Mus musculus: one gene and its partners. The protein of the gene in region 2 interacts with the protein of the main gene of each other region in a pairwise test. Links are inferred from orthologs where the notes say so. Each region holds a gene or a part of one and is shown on either strand. Other genes may lie near its edges.

Evidence for each region.
Region 1: the proteins of Tmem79 (region 2) and Rprm interact in binary tests that used the Homo sapiens proteins (3 or more experiments, as listed by UniProt). The two-hybrid records come from large-scale screens. The link is inferred for Mus musculus from reciprocal best matches to the Homo sapiens genes TMEM79 and RPRM.
Region 3: the proteins of Tmem79 (region 2) and Clec7a interact in binary tests that used the Homo sapiens proteins (3 or more experiments, as listed by UniProt). The two-hybrid records come from large-scale screens. The link is inferred for Mus musculus from reciprocal best matches to the Homo sapiens genes TMEM79 and CLEC7A.

The regions. Positions count from the first base shown.
Region 1 is NC_000068.7:54,083,496-54,086,941, forward strand, and holds Rprm (protein reprimo), read right to left. Parts: upstream 2,058-3,446; 5' UTR 1,810-2,057; coding exon 1,480-1,809; 3' UTR 598-1,479; downstream 1-597. UniProt on the Homo sapiens protein: May be involved in the regulation of p53-dependent G2 arrest of the cell cycle. Seems to induce cell cycle arrest by inhibiting CDK1 activity and nuclear translocation of the CDC2 cyclin B1 complex.
Region 2 is NC_000069.6:88,331,599-88,335,729, forward strand, and holds the start of Tmem79 (transmembrane protein 79), read right to left. Parts: upstream 2,836-4,131; 5' UTR 2,784-2,835; intron 2,732-2,783; exon of another isoform or gene 2,510-2,731; intron 2,085-2,509; 5' UTR 2,042-2,084; coding exon 1,294-2,041; intron 1,056-1,293; coding exon 842-1,055; intron 1-841.
Region 3 is NC_000072.6:129,469,889-129,474,149, forward strand, and holds the start of Clec7a (C-type lectin domain family 7 member A), read right to left. Parts: upstream 2,898-4,261; 5' UTR 2,798-2,897; coding exon 2,695-2,797; intron 1,110-2,694; coding exon 1,011-1,109; intron 1-1,010.

The sequences.
Region 1 (3,446 bases), on a different chromosome or scaffold from region 2:
TGATTAATTCATCACCTCAAACATTTCTCATTGCTTCACGCTCGCTTATCTTCCTTTCTCTAGAAACCATAATACGTCAAAAACAACTAAGCCCTTCTGACTTGGAGACAATGCTTACCCTGGCTGGTATTGAGAACTTTGACCACTACTTTTCCTGGGAATCTGTACTTTTCTTTTTCTGGGGCAACATCCCCTTGCCTTCCTGCTGACGTGGGTAGGGGAAAAGATGCTCTCCCTAAAGACTGGCTTGGCTGTCTCCTCCTTTCATTAGCGGGGTAACCTAGAGTTCCCCGAGGAGCCTGGCACGGAAGTGTAATTTCCCGCGAGAACCTACCTGACATTCGAAACGAAATGAAATTTTAAATCATAAATATGCGAGAAAACAAAGGCCGCTGTTTTCGAGATGGCTTTTATGCCTGGGGCTTCGTGTGTGTCACAAATCCCTGGGCTCTCTGTCCAGCCCCTCCTCCCCTCCATGGATCTAAGGATCTATGAAGTAGAATCGCAGCTATGGCCAGGCGAAACCTTCTGGCTGGGACCCAGAAGCTGCGCAGCCGACCTTCCCCTCCTCCAGGAGAACAGAATGACTACCAGGAAGCCAGAAACAAAACACTTAAATGTTGCATTTATTAAGGAAATGTTAAATAAGAAAAAGAGTCAAACGGTGTCACGGATATCAAGAGCACTTTTGTGGCGTAAACCGTGCAGACAGGAGCTAAGAATTCTACTCTGGATCTTTGTCCCGGGCGTAGCTGGAGCGCTAGCCTCCCATAAAGACCCAGCTGGAAATGCACTAAAAGAAAGCACTTACCCCATTCACAGTCTCAGACTCCCCTCCCCCCACCCGTTCTCCCAGAATGACAAAAAACTCTAACCCGCAGGCAGGCAAACAGGCCACTAGGACACAAAAGACTTATCAAATATTTGTATTCAAGCAAACTAACACAAATCCCCTAAAACCACAGGTTACTATCGATCAAAGTTTCACTCTCTTAGTAGGTCGCAAAACCCACACGCATCTATGTTCCTTCCCAATTAGGTCTGCAGCGTGGCGAATAAACAGTCACTTTTTCCGGTCACTGGGCCTCTGAATACACACCCATCCACACCCCGCCTTGCTCGGCCTCTCAAGCTGTCCCCAGTGCTGAGCCCACCTGCAGGTGGAAAGGGGCCTTCGCCGCCTGGTTCATCTCCCAGTATCCCACGCCAGCAGCCACTCCCAAAGTTCTGCGCCCTGCTTTTGCCACCTGCTGCTGTATCCCGAAGTCTGGGCGCTCCTCCTGTACAGTCTTGCTTGGGGCCTTTCGAAGAGCTATCAGAAATCGGTCACTTTTTCCCCAAAGGCAGAAGTCAAGAGAAAAAAACTGACTCCGACAGGTTTGCGTTGCTCGGTCCGTGATGGTGAGGGGTGCATCGCGGCTGGCGGAGTACTGGAGGTGCCAGAAGGGAGGCACCCGCCGAGGGGGACCCGAGGGCCACTCAGTAGGGTCCCACGACCACTGCCTCCACCTCTTTAGACGGCCTCCGGTCCTTCACTAGGAAGTTGATCATGCCTTCGGACTTGATGAGCAGGTTGCAGCCAAGGAAGAAGATGCCAAAAACCACAGTGAGCGAGAGCACACACATGACTGCGATCTGCACCACACGCATGATGTACAGGCTGCGCTCGTCGGGGCCTCCCTCGGCGAAGCCATCGTCGGTCACCACCGACGCCTGGGTGCAGCAGCGCACCGCGCGCTCCAGCGCCTCGCTACTGTTGACCAGGAACAGGCCAGCCACGTCGGTCTGGTTGCCCAGCACTGAATTCATCACGAGAGCAAGCGGGAGCCGGGAAGGCGAGGATCGGAGGGGTGGGGACCAGAGTGGCTGTAGCGCGGGACGAACAGGTGCCCGGCGGAGCGCTGGCTTGATCACTTGTGCGCGCAGGGCTCCTCAGTCTCCCTTTCAAAGTCCCAGGTCCGTAAGTGTCTCAAGAACCTCTTCAGGGCGCGCCGCAAGCTGGCTCCTGTGCGCTGTGTTCTGCCCAGGCAGTGCTCGTTCCCGGCGCTCGCACGACTGGGAGCTCTTGGAACTTGGCGGGTTGGGCCGGAGGGGCCGTGGGAGGCGCGGGCCTTGGCGGTGGCCCGGCTCCTGCTCCAAGCGAACAGCGGCCCCTGCTGGTGATAGAGCCTTGCTGCGCCCGCTCGGCTTAGAGGGGCGGCTAAGATAGGAGCTAACCTAGCAGCAGGCTTTGTGCCTTCTGCATTTCCAAGGGCTAGGCAGGGTTCACTATGCACTCCTGATCTGAAGAGCAAGTAAAGAACTTGGAGAGAAAGGCTGAAAGTTGCAGAGGACCCGGATCACACCCTCTCTTAAGTGTGTCCTTCGAAGCCACCCTATCACCTCTGAGCAGATGTAAGGTGGACAGGTACCAGATGGCGCTGGTCAAGGTACTGGCCTGCTGCCTGTGTTTGGCTGCTGCCTGTTCTTGTAAGCTTTCTGGTGGAGTATTGGAAGACAAGGCAGGTGGGAAGACTGGGAATTTCTTCTCTCCCCACCCCCACCCCCGTTTTTTTTTTTTTTTAAGTAGGGGGTGTTGCTGATGTTATTGTTGTTTTAAGGAAGGGAGAATGGAGGAAAACCTTAGAAATCATAAAAGAGCTACGTCCGCACCCTACTTGGAAAGCTCTTACGTGTGTAGTAAAGCGGGGTTTGTAGTGAGCTGTGAGGCCCAGGCAAGGCGCAGGTCTAAGGAGGTGCTTGCTCTCTTTGTGGTTTGTGTGTGGAGGTGGTTACCAAGAACAGGGTCACCTCTCTGTTAAGGGAGGTGGGCAGAGTGACCAACCACTTCATTGCCACTTTAATTGCGGAGGAGTTTTTGGATGAGCTTCCAGTGTTTTCTGTCCTTGGCAGAAAATCAGTGGTTTAAGGGAATTGCTCATCTACATCCATCAGCTAGAATGTCGGCCAGCAGCTGGGCGCCTCCCTCCAGAAGCTGTTGCTCCCACCCACCCTGCCTTCCTCACCACAAGGCAATCTGCAGGCATTTCGGGGAGCTGCAGACACTCAGTCCATAGTGGCTGTTGGGTATAAGTGCTACCAGAGGAGCCTTACACACAGGCCACTTCTACTTTGTTTTAGACTCCAGAAGATACAGGATCCTCTCTTCTCCTTCCCTTTTCTCCTGTCCCTTGAATCGGTCAATCAAAGCCTTAGAATCCTGACTTTGGTGATGATAGGCATGCACAGAGCCTTCTAATTACACCATGCTTGCTTGTTAAATTCCCTCTGTAAGAATCACTCATTCCACATTCAGATCCTCTGAATGTACTGGCATTATTGGCATCCTTGTAACGTGCTGCCATCCCTCAAGCACAAAGGAGAGCCTTTTAGGCAAGTTTTTTTTTTTTTTTGAAGTTTCAGTTTCTTCTAGCTGTCTAGATTCTTTTATTACTGAGAATAGAGAG
Region 2 (4,131 bases):
TCTTTCTTTCTTTCTTTCTTTCTTTCTTTCTCTTTAAAGATTTATTTATTTATTATATGTAACTACACTGTAGCTGTCTTCAGTCACTCCAAAAGAGGGCACCAGATCTCGTTAGGATGGTTGTGAGACACCATGTGGTTGCTGGGATTTGAACTCTGGACCTTCGGAAGAGCAGTCAGGTGCTCTTACCCACTGAGCCATCTCACCAGCCCCTCTTTCTTTCTCTCTCTCTCTCTCTCTCTCTCTCTCTCTCTCTCTCTCTCTCTCCCTCCCTCCCTCCCTCCCTCCCTCCCTCCCTCCCTCCCTTCCTTCTTTCCTTTCTTTTCTTTCTTTTTTTTTTTTTTTTTGATTGTTTGTTTCGAGACAGGGTTTCTCCGTGTAGCCCTGGCTGTCCTGGAACTCACTCTGTAGACCAGGCTGGCCTCGAACTAAGAAATCCGCCTGCCTCTGTCTCCCAAATTCTGGGATTAAAGGCGTGCACCACCACGCCCAGTTAGAGGCCAATTCTTAAAGCTATTTGGATGGAGAGTTTCAGAGTAAAGTAGCTTCAGTGAACACACTAAATGACAAATGAGGTTAGAGTACGCAAGGCAATGGATTCAACACTATACTAAAAAAAAGTCAAAAGCTCCCCATTGCCATGGCTCTGAGACCAACTGCTACCCAGTGTAGCTCAACAGACAGCAAGCTCATCACTGCCTGGTGCACATCCAGAAACACCCCACCCCGACTCCCATCCCCGACCTCAGGTTTGCAGACCTTCAGCTCCCTGGAGGATCTGGAATCATGTCTTCCTCATGCCTACCCCAGCCATGGCCACCCCAGCCCCCGCCCGACTCACCGAGATATGGCAAAGAGACCGGTGAGCAGCGGGAGCAGCTTGAGGGTGTCCTGGGGCAGATAGGTGGAAAGCACAGCCAGGTTAAAGAAGTAGAGGATGAAGAGCTGCACAGACTGGGCCACGTACTGCCGGTGGATCTCCACTTCCCGCCTCGGCTCGCCGAAGGGCCGAAGCGCAGAAAAGCACAATAGGCTCAGCCCGTACACAAGGAGCCCTATCAAGAGGGTAAGCACATGGGATCAGAAAAGGCAGGAAGGTTGGGATGGGTTTCCCAGAAGATAGCTCTTTGGGTCGGGGCTACAGAGTGGACACAAGAGCTCCCTGGAGGAGAGGACAGAGAGTGGCAGGTTCAGGATACCCTGAGTGGTTCCAGCAGAATGAAGAGAAACCACCCAGTCGAAAGCTCTGTAATCCACTTCCCAGGTAGCCCTTCTCCACGGGGCCAGACTCACCGAGTACGATGGGAAAGGTGGCAAAGACCCCACAGCGAAGGGTGTAAACCAAGCGGGAGCTCATGGTGGGCAGCCTCGGGGCATCGAAAGGCAGGAAGGCGTATGCTCCGTACAGCAGACAGGGGAAGAAGATGAGGGCCGCCACCACCGAGGCGACAGCTCTCAGTGCCTCACGACCTCCACAGCTTCCACAGCCCCCGCAGGACCGGCCAGGGGGTCTCACCACGGCCTCAGCCCACTTGCGCTCTGGGGGCTCAGGGTGGCTGAGTCGAGCTGGCAGGAAATTCCTGAGCTCGCCTGGTCCAGCGTCGCGATGCAGGATGCGCTCCTCCTGTGGCTTCCGCTCGATGCACTGTAGATCAATGGGCACGAAGGCCCTAACTGTCTTCTCGGGGAGCAGGTTGGCATCCTCTTTGAATGGCTCCTCCGACTTAGTAGGTGCCTCTGACTCTAGGGGCTCTGGTTCAATATCTCGCCAGCCCGGGGGATCCGGAAGTGGGGCGCTAGGATGGGGGTCAGTTCCCCAGGGTAAAGTGGCAGCCTCACTTATTGTGCTGTCTGGACCATCCTCAGGCCCCTCTCTGACTATAGGAGACCCTACTGAAGACCCCACTCTGAGCGACTCAGTTCCAGGGGACTCAGTCCCACCTTCTTCCTCTGACTGCAGGACTAAAGCCTGCGGTGGGCTCTTCTCTGGAGTCTCGGGTTCCTTCATGTCCAGCAGGGCCAGTGTCTCCGGTTCTGTCATTGTGAGGCTTCAGTTCCGAGGGCTACCACAGAACGATGTCATCCTATAGGCAGTGGGAGAAGTTCTGTGAGAATACCTAGTCTTCTGGCCCCAGGACAGTTTCTCAGACCTAGAACTCCCCAGAGAAGCTGGCCTCATGGGACTCTAGGGAGAACACTGTGGGGAGGAAGGTGTTGAAACAGAGAGGCGGGCGGGCAGCAGAGGAGCGAAATGGAGGATCCCTTTCAAAATAAATGTCATCCAGCAGGACAAGGGTGAGTCAGGGGGCACAAGCAGAGGCAGGTGTGGCCTGTCTATACCCACACCTGCCTTCTACTCTCTCCACTAAAACTCCCGGATTTTTGGCCACCCTGGCTTTGGAATGGGAGGCTGAGGTGTCTAGGACTAGGCGGAGTTTCTCTACAGCCAAGGGTCACCCTATAGATAGAGAAATTGGCCCTTCCCCCTTCCTTCCACCTGCCCTTTGACCTGCAGGTCCCTCCAGGAACTCGACACCAGATCTCGGTTCCTCAGTCTCCATTCCAGGAGTCGGTCATTTTCTGAACTCTCCCATTGCCAGTCTCACCCGATTCAGCTGGGCTGGGCTCCACTCAGACTCCCAGCTCTAGTGTGGCCGTTCCCAAGCCTTCCTCTTGTTTCCTCCCCTGCCACCCTCCAGCTCACAGCTTCTGGATTGGGCTCCCTTCGTTCACCTCTTGGGCCCCTCCTACCCCTGCCCTTTGGATCCATGATACCCTCTTACTTTCCATCTGCAAAGAGGCGGAGGATCTCCGGAAAGGAGCTGCCTAGCTCCTGGCTGGCTCTGCAAGTATTTCCCAGTTTCCCTCCCTTGCCTGTGTCTCCAAACCTGTCTGACCAGAGCGGGTGGGGCCCAGATTAAAGGCGCAGGCCCTGCCCTACAGAATCTGCCTACTGGAAGGACTCTACAGGAGGACGTCATCCTTTTTGAAAGTAAGGGTGCAGCTGGGCACAGAGGTGTGGACTTAATGTATTCTGGGATCTGTAAGAGCTTCCAGCTCAGGGAAGCATCAGGGTATAAAAGTGGGTTTGTGTATCAAAGGGTGCTCAGAGTAAATTGGCTAAAAGATGACACTGCAAGTTTGTTCATCCAGTAAATGTTTATTGGGTATCTATTATTAATGAGGCGCTATTTCTGTGGTGGTACAAGCCTTTAATCCCAGCACATGAGGCAGAGGCAGGCAGATTTCTGAGTCTGAAGCCAGGCTGGTCCAGCAGCCAGAGTTATGTAGAGACTCTCTCTCTCTCTCTCTCTCTCTCTCTCACACACACACACACACACACACACACACACACACTCCAACAAACAAAAAAAGTGCTAGTCTAGGCACATGTACAGAAAAGAACAAAGTGACAAGGTTTCTAGCTGTTCAGGTAACCAACATTAAAGTTCACACCAAATCAGTAGTAGAATTTCAGTAGTGAGAGCCTCTTTAGGGTGACTGAAGCTGAAACCCAGTGGAAGTTCCCTGTAGAGGAACAGCGCAGCCAACAGATGGAAAAAGACTTGAGGCAGTTTGAGGAATAGAAAGGAGACTTGGTGGCTGGAGCCAGGAGCATAGTGGTATATACATTGCCATTATAATGTGGAGAGAGAGAGAGAGAGAGAACCCCAAAGATCCGCCTTATAGTTAGGAAAACAATAGGGCTGACAAGATGGCTCACCAAGCCTGACTACCTGAGTCTGATTCCCCAGAGAACCACACTTTTAAAAGAAAACTGACTCTCCCAAGTTCTCTGGCCACGTGTATGTTGTATGCATGCACCCACAAAATATAAATAAATAACTCTCTCGGGAAGAATTCCTTTAAAAAACAAGCAACTTCAGGAGCCACCCCTCAGGCGCGCTGGGATTTTGGCAGCTGACTTGACCTTGTGCATGCCGATCTCCACAACCTCCGGATCTTAAAATCTTTTCGCTGCCCCTCTTCTGCAACGATGTCTGATTCAATGATAGCTGGCCCATTCGTTTTATTATTTTATGCACTTTGGCGTTTTGCCTCTAAACATGTCTGTATGAGGGTTTCGGACCCCCTGGAGCTGGAGTTTCAGATGGTTGTGAGCTGCCATGT
Region 3 (4,261 bases), on a different chromosome or scaffold from region 2:
GGAACAAAACACCCATGGAAGGAGTTACAGAGACACAGTTTGGAGCTGAGATGAAAGGATGGACCATCTAGAGACTGCCATATCCGGGGATCCATCCCATAACCAGCTTCCAAACACTGACACCATTGCATACACTAGCTAGATTTTGCTGAAAGAACCCAGATATAGCTGTCTCTTGTGAGACTATGTTGGGGCCTAGCAAACACAGAAGTGGATGCTCACAGTCAGCTATTCGATGGATCACAGGGCCCCCAATGGAGGAGCTAGAGAAAGTAACCAAGGAGCTAAAGGGATCTGCAACCCTATAGGTGGAACAACAATATGAACTAACCAGTACTCCCCAGAGCTCGTGTCTCTAGCTGCATATGAATCAGAAGATGGCTTAGTCAGCCATCAGTGGAAAGAGAGGCCCATTTGTCGTGCAAACTTTATATGCCTCAGTACAGGGGAACGCCAGGGCCAAGAAGTGGGAGTGGGAGGGTGGGGGAGTGGGTGGGGGAGCGTGTGGGGGACTTTTGGGATAGCATTGGAAATGTAACTGAAATAAATACCTAAATAAAAAAAAGATAATTCCCATGTATCATGTCATGAGATGTTCAAAAATTACACAAAACTCATTTAATACATCTGTCTCCTAGGAAAGATTAGGCTTCTTTTGACTCTGCAAGTTTCCCTCCACTAACTTTTACTTTCAGTTTTACTTTAAAAAGAAAATCACCTATCTATAGTAGAGTAATATACTCATGAATATATGTTTTACTAAGCAGATTTTCTATAATCCACCATTTCTTATAATCTCACCAATAACTAGGTTATAACTATGGAAGAGTTAATCTTCCACTCTCTCAATTCTCCTATAACTAAAACAGAAATTAATAGCACAAACTTAATGGAATTAATATACAGATTAAATGAGGTTATGCATGCCAAGCCCTTGAGAGAGTTCTTGGCATCAATTAATTGCATAATCACTGTTTACGACTGCATCAACCTCCCTCACCCATACTCACCTAGGGCACCCAGCACTGCAGCAACCACTACTACCACAAAGCACAGGATTCCTAAACCCACTGCAATGGGCCTCCAAGGTGAAGATGGAGCCTGGCTTCCTGGAAAGTAAGAGAGATGAGAAAGAAAATGAGGGAAGATGATGGAACTCTTTAACAGCTTAGTTCCCTGAAATTTGGGTGGTTCTAAAGGGATCAGCAGACACTAGGCTCTAGCGACTTGAGAATCTAACATTGTAGTGTAAATCTCCATTTTCCTCCAACTTCAGGATGCCTCTTCCTCCATTGCTTCAGCCATGGCATCATGGCCATACCATCTGTAACTCCTCCATTGTAGGCTCACAGGCTAGTCTATAGATCTGGACACTATCCATTCCCTGAAGTCCTACTTGGTCACAGAGCAAATAGCTTTCTGTAGGAGAAACAGCACCAATGACTAAGGATAGCTTTTTCTTGTCATTTATATGGTGCATGATTTAAACAAGTTATTTTCTCTATGCCTTTGTTTTTATTTATTTTTTTTATTTCCAAGTTTTGAAATTAGATCAATAGTACCTTCAAATACTGTTGCTGGGACTGAGCACTTTAGTTTACGCAGCATACGCATATAAGCCATGCCCCTTCCCTCAATCAATTTTTAGACTATTTTCCAAGCAAATTTCACAAGAGAGTGATTGTGTAAGTGGTTATAAATAATTGCATAATGTGAACATCAAAAAGCGGAAGAAAACAAACTGACATTAGAACCCGTCAGTCATCTCTTCCTTTAAGTTAACAGCGAACTGATTTTTGTTTTAAGCTGATGATACCAACAACAGAAAGCCAAGTCATAGAGCTGCCCAATAGGTGACCCTGAAAGAGACTAAAACACTCACTCCGTGTTAGGACTTTAATGTCCTTTATTCTTGTCTTGTTTCCGTTTTAATATCTATCTCCTGATAATGAGACATTTTAATGTAGCTTGTGTTTTCCATAGCTGACATACTAACATCTCGTTTTATAAAATCCAAATTAATCTCTTACCAAAAGAGCATAGCGGATTTGGGATTTACACCCCATGACTCCTGGCTTCTCTTTGGGTTTAACCAAAGATGCATTCATTTTTATTTCCCACACACTCCTCTATGGTTGCATAGAGGACCATGACTTTAGCATACTGTGTTGTATGATTGTACAGGTTGTTCGTTTATCTGTTTCCTGGCCCCCTCACAAGTTGCTAAAAAACAAGGAAAAAGCAACTCTACTAAAATTCTTTCATCTTTCTCTTTTACTCATGTTACCAGTGCTACCTCTGACTGTAGAGTAGAGTAGTCCTGTTTTCTGCCATAAACCAAAAGCAATTTGTGGAAGTCGTTGATGACTTCCAGCAGTCTTTAAAACTATACACACACACACACACACACACACACGTGTGTGTATACATGTATATATATATATATATACATATATATATATATATATATACATATATATACATACATACATATATATGTGTGTATACATGTATATATATATATATACATATCATATACATACCACATATACCAAATATATATCATACACACACGCATATATGAAAATATATTTTTGTAGGCAGTTCTACAAATCAAGAATCTCTCCAGGTCTCTACTTCTGTTATTTCAGTTAATGAGAACAAAGGTGCTGTTAGCAGAAAGAAAATGGATACCTTTCTCTGATCCCCTGGGCCTTTTATGGATGTCTTGAGTGCTGAAGTCTAATTGAGTATATCCATCTTCATCCAGATTCTCTATATGAGAGTGATATTTCATTGCTTCACAGGGCCCTAGGTAGGCAGAGCACTTGAATGTTCTTTACTATAAAATAACTGCCAGGATGAGGCTCACTAACCCAAACCCTGAAACAGCCCTTTGCGAGGTTCATGGAGCACAGCTTAAGTAGTCAAGCCAGTGCCCAAAGCAGGAAATGAAAACGCGTTGGAGTAATTTCCCTTTTTTCCTCTAGATCCTGTTTCTGAGGCTGTAACTTCTGAAGAAAACTGAAATGCTGTATGATGCATGACTGTCGTTTTAGATCAACTGTATGACTGATCCATTGACTACAGTCTTAAAAGACATTGGTTACACTCCCCATTGAAACTGACACGATTAATTGGTATGGCCTACATAAACTTTTAAGCAGTTTGAGTGTCTTGAATTCGACACTGGCTTGTTAGAACTCTGATTGCATCCCCACATCCTTTCATGTGTTCATGCCATCCATTGTAGTAAATACTCTATAACTGCCTGGAGTCGGCAGCATTGGCGGAAGGCTCTCCACAAGGAAATTTATTGCCTGATGGAGGAATCACAGCTGAGCATCCAAAGTACATCACTCCAGCGACACAAAGCGAATGATTCTCTTGGAGGTTTATCATGGAGTAGAAATAGATAGGCGCAAACATTTACTGGGAATGATTCTGCCTTAGTTACTTCACAGCACACCCGCATTCTCATTCTGTCGCCCTCTCTAAGAATTACGCTTTAGCACATATTAGCATTACTATTTTCAAATAAGGAGAAGAAGACATGGATACTCGAAGATGGAAATTTCAAAACTAGAACAAGGGACTAGAACAAAGTCTACTAAGTTTTTAAGACTTGGAATTACTTACTGTTGCACTGGCTTCATTCTTCTGGACTCTTATGATACATATAATAGCCTGAAACATAAAAATAAATTCTCATTCTCTCTCTCTCTCTCTCTCTCTCTCTCTCTCTCTCTCTCCTCTCTTGCAATTCTCAGATTAACAAAAAATGATCAAATAAGTACAGTTTTGAAACAACCATCACTTGATTACTGCTGTAAGTCAACAAGGAGAACATCAAAGAAATGAGAATAGACTTAGTTTAAGGATATGATTGAATTGGAGAAGAAGGTTTTCCATGAATGGAAGTCAGAGTCCACAAAACAAAATTTGAAGACTTTTTCAAGGCTAGAGTGTGCTAATAAAAAAAAAGCTGCAATACTAAAGGGATAGCTAGAGTGAGTCTTCATCAGGACTTGTCAATTGGCACTTATTAAACTAAGAAACTCCTCATCTTTATGACTTGAGGCAGTGGCACACCTGGAAACAATGCACTCTCCTCCAATTCCCAGAGACTGTGAGGAAGAGCAAGGACAATCATCCTCGAATGTTTGCCCTTGAGGAGACTGTTCAGGGTGGTGGACTTCTCATGCCAGAGAAAAGATACTATATTGCAAATCCCAAACATATCTGCTGTAAGAGTGGATTT